Linked DNA regions of Danio rerio. The protein of the gene in region 1 purifies or fractionates together with the protein of each later gene. This does not show direct contact. Links are inferred from orthologs where the notes say so. Each region holds a gene or a part of one and is shown in the gene's direction. Other genes may lie near its edges.

Region 1 (5,490 bases):
CTACTGCATCCATTTTCTAAAGCAGTTGCTTGTGTGTTCTGACAAACACTCAGGAGTGAGTAACACACCAAAAATAATCAGCAACAGAACTTTAGCGAAACGTTGTCCTTTTATCTGTTTACAAACATTTTATCTGTCTAGTAAACATGTGAATTTTGCGTAACCATTGTTCACTGCAGGCAGTTTGAAGTCTAGCTGTGATTTGATTTGAAATATATATTTAAGGCAACAAATTGTGACTGTAATGGTCTTAGTATCAAAAGAAAAAGTTAAGGCGAAACTTTTCCGAGAGAGTTTACCGTGGGAGGCTCAGTATGCTGTCTTTTTTGGCTAACATCCCAATATACTGATTACTAGCCTACCGAAATTGAATTGACCCCCAGCCTACTGCTTAAATTAAATAACCCATTCAATTTCTAATAACAGAATTGACACTGCTTCAAATCACTATAATTTTCCATGTGAAATTGCTTCGACACAATCTACATTGTAAAAGCGCTATAGAAATAAAGGTGAATTGTATTGATTCTGTTTATATGCAAATAAATAATGCAATGCAAGTAAACAACCATGTTTACATGAGTTTTTGCAAAATCCCTCTCGTTCTCTCTGATATTAAGATTAAGCTGATAAATGATGCATTATTTCTGCTGGTTGAACAATTTCACATGCTTGCTGTTCTACACCTCTTTATTATGTTTCTGGTATTTTGATTTCATTTAATGTTCAGTCATTTGATTCTTTTTTTTTTTTTTTTTGTCAGGCTGTAGATTTAATTTTTACACTGTAATACCCAACAGCCAACTTTATCAAATGAAATGAAATTAACCCAAAATTTACTGAAAGCTAATTCTACTCATTTGAAAAAAGTTTTGAACTCAGTGCTAAAGATAATGAGTTAATTAAATACCTCATTACTTCAACTTAAATGTAGGAATTTCAGTGCACTCATAAGGATGGTTTTTTGAAACTTGGGAAGGCTGAACGTACAAGGAGGCGATGTGAGACTGAACTTTGTGTAGGCTACTTAATATTGAGGAAAAATCTTCAATCAGGTAGGAGAATGTCTGCAGCCCCGCCTCCGTTTCGCCTCTGCCCACACTAACACGGAGAAGAAGTGTTTTAAAATGAAAATGGCCTCTTCGGCATTTTCAAAAAGCGTAGTTTTCGGCGCTCGAAAACTAAAATGTTGTGTAAACGGGGCCTAAAACAGCTTATAGAAGGAGGAGCTGGAGCTCATTGGAGGTGAGCTCCACCCAAATGGCTCTGCAGCAAGCACCAGTGAAAACTGAATGTCATCTGCTGGTGATGTTTTGTATTGTATATCAATGTTATTATAGTTAAAAAAAATAAAAAAAATTTTTTTTAAATAAATGTAAAATTAAAATAAAAATTAGTTTTTAAAAAAAACTAGAACTGAAACTGTTTTGTGCACATACAAAACTAACTGAAGCTAACAAAAATTATAGCAAAAATCTTCGTTTTCATCTTTGTTAATGTATTTAATACATAATTTTACTTGAAGCCTTTTAGAAGTGAATCTATTTACTTCGTGCTGCAGGTGTTTGGCACTCAGAGTCAGTAGTCTACATAATTTTGGTTTGTTGAGTCCTAACATCCGTGTTAAATATTTAAACTCTTCATCTCTACTGTGTATCTAACCTCAGAAGCAGGTTTGCACACATGTTGTACTTAAGGCCGCTATCTTGTTGGCTGTTGTATTTGAATTTGAGGATGGTTAGATGGTACTGGGAGATGATAGTGTTCATGTGTCCTCTGAATACGTGTTTTAAAAAATGAATAGCTTTTTATTATAGTTTTTATTATACAATATTCAGTTGATTTTTGAATCTTGCACCTAACAAAAATCCTTATTTTAAAAATAAAATTAAAAACTAATACTAAAACTAATAAAAACTAAACTAAAACTAAACCATTTTAAAATATCGAAACTAATAAAAACTAGTAAATCTGCTAAAACTAATTAAAACTAACTTAATTTGAAAGCAAAAAGTCAAAACAAATAGAAACTAAACTAATGAAAAAAATCCAAAACTATTATAACCTTGCTGTATACCCAAACAGAAATTTACTGAAAAGCTTCTGAGATGTAAATTTTAAATTTGGAATATAATTTATCATAATATTATAATATATTTTGTCAAATTCAAAGTAACAGTAACAGTTTTTAATACAAATTTTAAATAATATGATTTATATATTTTTATTATTTTTTAAACACGTTTTATATTTTTAAACGCCTTTAAAAAAAACTTTTTTTCACTTCAGCTACAATCTGACAAGTGTCTTCTTTAAAGCAAAATCTTCTATCTGTCTATGCACTAAAGCATTAAAAAATTAGAACAATTTACTGTAAGTTGAACTTTTCACATCTATGCTCTTTTAAGGGCTTAATTAAAATAGTCATTTATTTGTTAAGCACCAAGCATATAACAGCAGTGAAAATTGAATAATGAATGAATTCAACCACCTAATCCATCAGTTGTTTTATTACATATTTGGGGTAAAGGGAAAATGGTTAGAATTAGGCAAGAATACTTTTGTTTTGGTAATGATTTAGATCAGGAGTGTCAAACTTAATTCCTGGTGGGCTGCTGCATTGCAGAGTTTAGTTCGAGCCCTGCTTCAACACACCTATCTATGGGTATCAATCAAGCTTAAAGCACTAAATTAGTTCAGGTCTGTTTATTTAGGTTTCGGAACTAAACTGTGCAGAGCTGCGGCCCTCCAAGAACTACGTTTGACACCTATGTTCTAGATTAACACAGCCATTTGGTTTTCTCTTCAACAGGAGCAGCAGGGAACAGCCCTCCCTTGTGGCATTTGGCTCAGGTGAAAATGGAACCTCAGGATAGCGAGGAGGGCCAGGTTTCAGGTCATGGGGTTCTGGGTAGCGACGTCTTTGAAGAGGGCCCAATGTCCACCATGAGTGAAGCTGGCATGCCTCCATCTCCCGGCGGATCAGAAGGAAGCTACATGTCCCATTCCCCGGATTCTCTTATAGGCACATCCCCCTTCGCTCAGCGACCAAAGAAACGAATTCGAAAAGTTTAGTGGTTCTGCCATTTAAAGAGTTAGTTCACCTAAAAAAAAATGAAAATTATGTCATTAGATAATCACTCTCATGTCATTTTAAACCCCTGAACCTAGTCTTTGGAACACAAATTAAGACATTTTAGTTGAAATCGGAGAGCTCCCTCATCCTCCATACACAGCAAGGTTCCCGACTTGTTAAAAAACATCCTCAAAACTAACCATATGGCTTCAGTGGTTCAACGTTAATATTATCAACACATTTGTGTGCACATAAAACAAAAATAGTCAGTTTCTTCTCAGTGTGAATATAGGACATGTCTCGTCTCATATCTCGCATTTAGCTTCAGATGTTTTACCTCAAATGCGCTTGTGCTTGTTTCAACTTGTGGACATGCGCAATATACTGACACTGAGGAATAGAAACCCTTGAGTAAAGTTGTTATTTTTGTTTTATATGTGTACATCAGGGGTGCTCAACCCTGTTCCTGGAGATCTACCTTCCTGCAGATTTCAGTTGCTACCCATATCAAACACACCTGACTGTAATTATCACGTGGTGTTTAGGTCCTAATTAATTGGTTCAGGTGTGTTTTGGATATGGGTAGCAACTGAAATCTGAAGGAAGGTAGATCTCCAGGAACAGGATTGAGCACCCCTGGTGTACATAGTATTCTTATAGCTTGATAAAATTCAGTTTATATTCCAGAGCATGTGTCTGAGGATGTTTCTGAGGATATATTTTGGTATTGTTCCCAAGTATAAGTGAGTCAGGGCCCCTGTTGTCTATGAAGGATGAGGAAGCTCTTTGATTTCACCTAAAATATCTTCATTTGTGTTCTGAAGACAAATAAAGGTTTTAGAGGTTTGGATAAGACATGAGGGTGACTAATTAATAACATAATTGTCATTTTTGAGTGAACTAACCCTTTCATTAAAGAGACTGAAAGCATTTCCACAGTCATTGCAATGCATAGGCTCAACCACTGTTGGGACTAGATAGGTATTCTACCTTTGAATGGACGTTTTAAGTGAAATTAAACGAAACAGACAAATGACAGGCATGGTTGAACGCTCCCTCAGCAAATGCCAGGCGGTCATCGTTTTACCTAATTATGAAATAGGACAATAACTGTACTTGTTTGCCATAGCAAAATTAGCATCTGTTTTTTTGTACCAAAACAATGGAGGGAGCACAACATGGAGAGTAATTATAGCCTGATGTGTGCTTCAAAACACACAGGGACATCAGTCAAGCCAGTAATGGCAAATTAATTACAGCATGCATAAATCTGCATGCTAAATAAGCAGGCCAATTCATTTACCTGCACAGTCCCAGACGTCACAGCGAAGGCATTGTCTCTTAGACACCTGTACCACAACAGTTTTCCAATTAAAAATGTAAGTAAGCAAATAAATACTGGTTGGGTGAAAATTTTGCTACTCATCCATAGCTATGTTTCCAGAGGTGCAATCTAAAGGAGAAAACTAGAAATCTATCTCACAGCATCCTTAAATGAAACCGTGTGGGCCTTCAGTGGCCACTTCAAGGGCATTTTGATGAAAAGCAAAACATAAGCGTTGACTGCAAAAATAATCTTCCATATGTTTTAGTCCTTACTTAGTCTTCGGTGGGTCTTAGAAGCATCTCTAGCAGGTCATATTTCAACAAGATCCTTATTTGTACAGTCAGATTCTTATTTGTACTTGCCTTGCGGCTTTATTTTTAATGACAAATAAATACATTTCTGCCTGTAATATTTTAGTTCCTAAATAAATGATTATAAAATCTTCTATACTTTATTATCCACAGGTGGAAATTTAAATCTAAATTCATCTACATTCAATATCATCACATAAATCACATTAACAATGCAATTCACTTTTTATTTAAATTAACTAAATAATTGATGTTTTAAAACTAGGTAACTATAGCATATTTAAAACATTGTACACTAATAATTTAAAAAAAAAATTACATTATCTCCTTCAGACTCAAATTATGTTACAAGTTTCTGAAAAAAATGTAAAAGTATGTTTTGCCAGTTCTTGAGGCTCCAATAATTAAGATCAAATTATAACAATAACAATTTAACACTCTTTAAGTATATATATATATATATATATATATATATATATATATATATTTTTTTTTTTTTTTTTTGTTAATTTTAATGGACATCATTTCAGAACAGTTGTACTTCCCAAACATTACACCAACACAAAATACCAAAAAAAAGTGTTAAAAAACCCAAAGAATAAGGGCTCTATTTTAACGATCTAAGCGCAAAGTCAATAGCATTAGGGGTGTGTCCGAATCCACTTTTGCTATTTTAAGGACAGAAAAATACACTCTGCGCCACGGTGCATGGTCTAACAGGGTTGTGCTTATTCTCTTAATGAGTTATGAGAGTGCTTTGAGAATAAACCAATCAG
Region 2 (6,857 bases), on another chromosome or scaffold:
GTACCTCTCCTGTGTTTGCCAGCTGCGTCGTTCCGCTCCCATTTTTGCTTTGGCGTTTTTGTTTTCCTTGCTTTGTCGGTTCAAAACAAATGTGGTATTTCAGGAACAATGAAGCCATTTTTTTGAATGTCACCGCATGGACCCCGCTGGTCTCGGTGCTTGTTCGCAAGGCGTTTGTGCCCTTACCTGCACCCGATGAGGGGGTTAAAGGTGAAAATGGACTACTTTTTTTGTTTGTCCTCTTATAGGAATGCTGCCCGTAGCCGTTTCTTTGTGATGTGGTGAAGCCACAGAGGATTTTGAGTTGAAGTTCTCTGTTCATTCAGACTGATGTTACATATTGAGGACTAGTTTATCAGAAGTTCGTTAGCTTTTTTGTTTGTTTGTTTGTTGGGGCACCAAACTTGATTCCCTCCTGTTTGTTAAAAATGGTTATCTGTCGTTTGAAGCTGACTTTCGTTCCTCTTTCCAACCACTGTTTATTTGGTGCTCCAAAAACCTAAAACGTGATTTGATATGTTTTAAAATATGATGGATGTGAGTTACCCCACAATTCAGTGCACTTATGATGGAATCCCTAGTTCACTATTGCCCATTTATTATTTACATATTCAGTATGCCTCCTGCATTTCACTCATTAGCCCATAATGTCGACCACTTTACAGATCTTTCATGCACCAGCTCAAGGAATGTAACGGAGAAGTTTTATTTAAGAGAGGGGTACCATTATTTGTTGTGTGTGTGTGTGTGTGTGTGTGTGTGTGTGTGTGTGTGTGTGTGTGTGTGTGTATGTATATACGAACAGTTTTGAGGGTGACTGGTATATTCTCTCGTTCCAACACCCTGGCCGGAAATGGCAACTAAGTTAAACCCACAACCCAGCTTCCTGCACTGAGCTAAAACCTTTTACTCAGTATTTTTTTTACGCATTGGGCCACTGTAATTTATTTTTTTCCTCTGATTGCGTTCAATGATTTGCATATGAATACAAACTAATTATTATTTACGGAAGATTGCTATCAAAATAGATGCTCAATTTGCTGAACCAGGCGTGCAATCTTTGACCGAGGCCTGTATCATGTGTGATGCTGCATTATTGGGGGAAAATAAAAATACCCGATGGTTCTAGATGATTTGAAAGAAGGGCCGGGATAAGAAACCCAGTGGAACTTTCAAGATTTGTTGATATTTTATAGGATTTTGAGACTTTCAAATAGATTTGGGTTGGGTTCAGTGCTGTTGTAAGGTATTTGTACATATAGATTTCTCTTTTTTTCTTTCTCCCTTTGTAATGAGTGAATATTATTGCGTTTGTATTTTCAGTTGGCTACACTGCCGTAGCCTCAAGTTAGTTTGTCGATCGGGGGACATGTTTTTAATTTGGTAAGTTTTAGTTTTTACGCCTCCCCATGTTTGTTTATTTGTAGAAATGGCAAGAAAAAAAAGCTTAAATTTGTACTGCAGATTTGAAACATTTGGACATTTTCTATAGCAAAAGATGTTATATCCCTGCAATTTACAATTTGAGCAAATAAACCTTCTCTTAAACAGTTCTTCTGATTCGGTTTTGTTTTTTCACTCACCGATTTGTTCTAGATCGTTTGGTCTTGTTCGTTCTACACTAAAAAAAAAACGTTGAGTTATTTATTTAACCCTTTTTGCTACCCCATCAAGAAAAAAATATTTGGATTGCATTTCTTAAGTCATTATGTGACTAATTAACACACTCAAAGCATTTTTTCACATCTCATAACTTCTAAAATATCAAACTTTACCAAATGGTTGATATGTTGATTTATAGTAAAAGTACCAGAATTAATATGAATCTGAAAAATATGAAGTGCAAGACAAATTTACTGAAAAACAATAAAAAAATAACACATTTTCGGATAATAATCTTTTTTAAGTATGCCATAAAATATTTTAGATTCTCATTTAACACGTTTAATTCATTTTTTCTTTTTTTTTTTTACAATAAAACCAAAATCAAGTTTAGTAGTGCAACAGGATTTTTTTAAAAAATTTTTTTTAAAGATTTTTTTTGTAAACCAACAATGCTGTGTGGTAACCATTATTTCAAACAGTCATACTTTAAATGACTTTAAAAACATTCACGAAATGTTCAACCATTTGGTAGAGCAGGCATTAAAAGGGTTAACTTAACGGTTGAGTTAAAAAAAAAACAATAGTGCTTGTTTGGGTTTTTACCTTTTTTGGTTATTTATTTATTTAATAACATTTATCAGTTGCGTTAAAAATTTAGATTTTCAACCGTTAACTGATTTAACTGACATATAAATACACATATTTGAGATATTCGGTCGTCATGCTCGCCGTTAGCTTCCTTGTTTAGTCCATGTTGTTTATTTGTTCTTTATATCATTAATTCTGCCTGTCGTCTTGGTATTATTTTCCAACTGTTTTTTTGTTTATTGTTTTGTATGTTGTTTGAGATTGTCTGTTGATTGTTCTATTATTCATTTCTTCTATTGTTTATGTTCTTTTGTTGATCTTGTTCATCATGTTATTAGCTTTTATTTTCCTTTGTATTTTTTTCCATCAATCATTTGTTGTGATTAGTGTTGTTGTATTTGTCTTTTTCTTTGTTTTTGCTGTGCCTTTTTGTTTGTCTTGTTGATTTGTTTCATCTGTTCATTCCGTTTTCTCTTCTTTGTTTATTTGTAGCTTTTCTTCGTTCCCTCATTCATTCTTTTTATTTTATTGGATTTCTCTTTTTATCTGTGAACTACACGTGTGCCTATAGGCTATACAACAGAGTGCATGGGAACGAATTCAAGGCGAAAGGAATCGATGGGTCACGTTGGCTCTGCAATACACTAGTGATGTCTGACAGGAGCCAAAATGGCAGCGTTGTTTTATTTCCAAACATCATTTTTTATTCGTGTGACCTATTCAGCCAGGCGCCTAACCGTGTTTGTTAAATAACGTTTCCGTTACCTTCATACGCACGTTTTGAGTAGGTTTGTTCTCTGTTGTCGTTAACCAGAGGAACGGCTGGTTTGTGAATGAGGCAAGACTGGGGCCGTTTAGTCTTGGTAAGTCGACACATATTAAACAAATGCGTTTCAATGAGCGCGCAGTCGGTTACTTTGTAGCTTTACTACACATCACTGCAGTTTTGAAACAATGTTATTAAAACCCGCCCGAACGGAAACGCAAATGTTTAGTCAGTCAGTCAGTAAATGCTGTGCTGTAGTCAGTACCTGTCAACTAACATTATGTTGACGTTGTTGGTACGTGTGTTCAACAGTTTTATTAAGTTTATGACGCGGTGGTTATTAATTACAGATCTTCATTTGTTTTATTTGCCCTCTGTTGAAATTGATAATCGCTATGCCCGTTTATTTATCCTAATCCCGTTATAGCTTAACGTTATATATCAACGTGGGTGTTGAACGAGCTTTTGACAGGCATCTACTGATAAGGATAAAATGATCTAGGAAATGGGTGTGCGTTTTAGATAGGGCCTTTAATTTCTAACAAATAATTTACTGTACATCCTTTTATAGCGCTACAGTTTGTGTATAGTGTGTATTACAATGCTCATTAGCATATTATTTTAGCTACGCATGTTTCGCCTTTGGCGCTAAACGACGCAGTTTCATTTAGACGACGATGCAGATTTGACCATGATGTAATGGGTTTTTGTTTGTGTTTTTCAGTGTTTTCCACTCCTCCTCCTCCTGTTGTCAACAATGACAGCTCCCCTACCATAGTTGCTGCAAATGAAAATGGAGGATATGTCTCTGTCAGGCCTGGATAACACCAAGCTAGAGGTACTGGTAAATGATGACAGATAATAAAACAGTTTAAAATAGCTAAAGTTGGGGTTTTATACACGTTCACCACTAGCATTCACAGGGTACACTCTAAATTTTATTACAGACTTAAGATTTTCTTTGTCAGTACAAATATAAGACTTTTAACTTTATTAAACTCTGTTACAAGCACTGAATAAGACAATCAAATGCAATAATCACATTGTAATACTTAAAAAATAAATCATAAAACCTTTTTCTTGGAGAATATCTTGCACAATACTGTATTTTATTTGCTTTTGTAGTCTTCAGTTATGTGTATAGTCAACTTTTTTTTTGTTTGATTGATTACTGCTCCACTATGTTAGCTATGTGTGATTTTTAAAATTGCACATCCTGTGTAGGAGTCATATTCATTCATTCATTCATTCATTCATTCATTCATTTTCTTTTTGGCTTAGTTCCTTTATTTATCTGGTGTCACAACAGCAGAATGAATCGCCAACTTATCCAGCATATGTTTTACACAGTGGATGCCCTTCCAGCTGCAACCCAACACTGAGAAGCACCCATACACTTCCATTCACACACATAAACACTACGGACAATTTAGCCTACCCAATTCACCTATACTGCATGTTTTTGGACGTCTAGGGAAAACCCACGCAAACACAGGGAGAACATGCAAACTCCACACAGAAATGACCAACTGACCCAGCCAAGCCTCGAACCAGCGACCTTGCTGTGAGGCAAACGTGTTACCCACTGTGCAGCCGTAGTCATATTTATTATTTTTATTATTTATTTTTCATGTTGCACTGTAGTTCTGTGAGACATGTCTTTTAATTTCACTGTATCTCCACATGTAGCAGAATACAATAAAACTCCACATGACTTGACGTATCTTTCCATTTACATGTTCAGAAATACAGGCACAGAAGTTGTCACTGAGGAAAACCATTTCTAAAGCTAAACATTTGTACCTAAAAGTTTATATTGATACCTTAGATTCATATATTAGTACCTACACATTACAGTAGTACAACCTTTGAACTTTCAGCAGTGAAAATGAAACCAAACTGAACTTCAACTCTGAAAACTGGACTGAAGCTGTTTCAATTTAATACAACTTCTATGTTAAGCTGCTATGACACAATCTACATTTGTGAAATAAAGTTTAATTCAATCCTTTGGAACATCTAGGTACTAATTAGCAATTTTAAGGTGTCATTATGAACTCTTTAGGTACAAATTTCCACCATTTTAAAGGGAACAGTCAGTGACAGCTTGTGTATCTTTATTTTTGAAAGTAAGTGTATTTAGTATTATCAATGATTTATTTATGTTTGTAGGCCTTGGCTCATGACGTGTACTCTGACCTAGTGGAAGATGCCTGTTTAGGGCTGTGCTTTGAGGTGCACAGGGCCGTCAAACAGGGCTATTTCTTCCTGGATGAAACGGACCAAGAAAGTATGAAGGATTTTGGTGAGTAAAAAAAAGACAATTTATTTTCTAAAACCTGGGTTACGTGCTTTAGTTTGACATACTTCTCTCTCTGGCGTAGAAATAGTGGACCAGCCTGGTGTGGACATCTTTGGGCAGGTGTACAACCAGTGGAAGAATAAGGAGTGTGTTTGTCCCAACTGCAGCCGGAGCATTGCGGCCTCTCGCTTCGCTCCTCATCTGGAGAAGTGTCTCGGCATGGGCCGCAACAGCAGCCGAATAGCCAACCGCAGGTGAGCTCACTTTGGTGTCACAACATTTAGCATCAGAATTCATTTCCTTTTAAAATTGCTTTAACTTTTTCCTATACAGTTGACCAAACATTGCTGCAATATAAATAATGTTTTTTTTGTTGATGATCTGAAATGGGTTGACATAATTTTATGCAAGTACCATTCCACAAAACATGCAAAATTACTTTGGATTTATGTCGAATGGTCGTCTTTCTTATGTAGGCAAATTACATAAGACATTTAACTGCATAAAGACTACCTTACCTGCTCAACCCTCCATCGTACAATCATCCATCAACTAGCAATTAAAATATTTAGTGAAGGGTAACATGAACAAAAACCTATTCTATTTATTTCCCGTATTATTAATTTTGTAATATTTATTTCAGATATATATTTTTATATATATAATTTTTAAAGTGATTTGCATACAATACAATGTGTGTGTCTATATATGTATTGGTACCAATGGGCCCAAACTGTGCCAAGAAAATGTCCCCCAAACCATTACACTAGCACTACCAGCCTTAACCGTTGACAAAAGGCAGAATGGATCCATGCTTTCATGTTGTTGACTCCAAATTCTGATCCCATCATCCGAATGTTGCAGCAGAAATCGAGACTCATCAGACCAGGCAACCTTTTTCCAGTCTTCTATTGTCCAAATTTGGTGAGCCTGTGTGAATTGTAGCCTCAGTTTCCTGTTCTTAGCTGACAGGAGCGGCACCCGGTGTGGTCTTCTGCTGCTATAGCACATCTGCCTCAAGGTTTTACGTGTTGTGCATTTAGAGATGCTCTTCTGCATACCTCGGTTGTAACGAGTGGTTATTTGAGTCACTGTTGCCTTTCTATCAGCTAGAACCAGTCTGACCATTCTCCTCTGACCTTTGGCATCAACAAGGTTTTTGCGCCCACAGAACTGCCGCTCTCTTTTTCAAACCATTCTCTGTAAACCCTAGAGATGGTTGTGCGTGAAAATCCCAGTAGATCAGCAGTTTCTGAAATACTCAGACCAGCTTGCTGGCACCAACAACCATGTTACATTCAAAGTCATTAAAATCACCTTTCTTCCTCATTCTGATGCTCAGTTTGAACTGCAGCAGATCTTTACCATATTTAAATGAATTGAGTTGCTGCCATGTGATTGGCTGATTGGAAATTGGCTTTAACGAGAAGTTTGGTGTACAGGTGGTGTACCTAATAAAGTGACCGGCTGGTGTATATATATATATATACGTATATATATGTATATATATATATTTTTTTAATGGATTTGTGCTCTAAACCTTAAAACTTTTCAGCTAATATTTCTTTATTTTATTCTACAAAATTCTGCACAGAA

Evidence for each region. Proteins that work in one complex are often made in the same cells at the same time.
Region 2: the proteins of supt7l (region 1) and atxn7l3a purify together in Homo sapiens (affinity purification with mass spectrometry; 6 studies listed by BioGRID and IntAct, counting the BioPlex papers as one, with this or other methods). This does not show direct contact. The link is inferred for Danio rerio from reciprocal best matches to the Homo sapiens genes SUPT7L and ATXN7L3.

What each region holds. Positions count from the first base shown.
Region 1 is NC_133192.1:44,167,425-44,172,914, reverse strand, and holds the end of supt7l (STAGA complex 65 subunit gamma), read left to right. Parts: intron 1-2,812; coding exon 2,813-3,075; 3' UTR 3,076-3,105; downstream 3,106-5,490.
Region 2 is NC_133178.1:18,817,822-18,824,678, reverse strand, and holds the start of atxn7l3a (ataxin-7-like protein 3), read left to right. Parts: upstream 1-2,836; 5' UTR 2,837-3,056; intron 3,057-3,683; 5' UTR 3,684-3,746; coding exon 3,747-3,797; intron 3,798-5,131; coding exon 5,132-5,264; intron 5,265-5,343; coding exon 5,344-5,515; intron 5,516-6,857. UniProt on the Homo sapiens protein: Component of the transcription regulatory histone acetylation (HAT) complex SAGA, a multiprotein complex that activates transcription by remodeling chromatin and mediating histone acetylation and deubiquitination.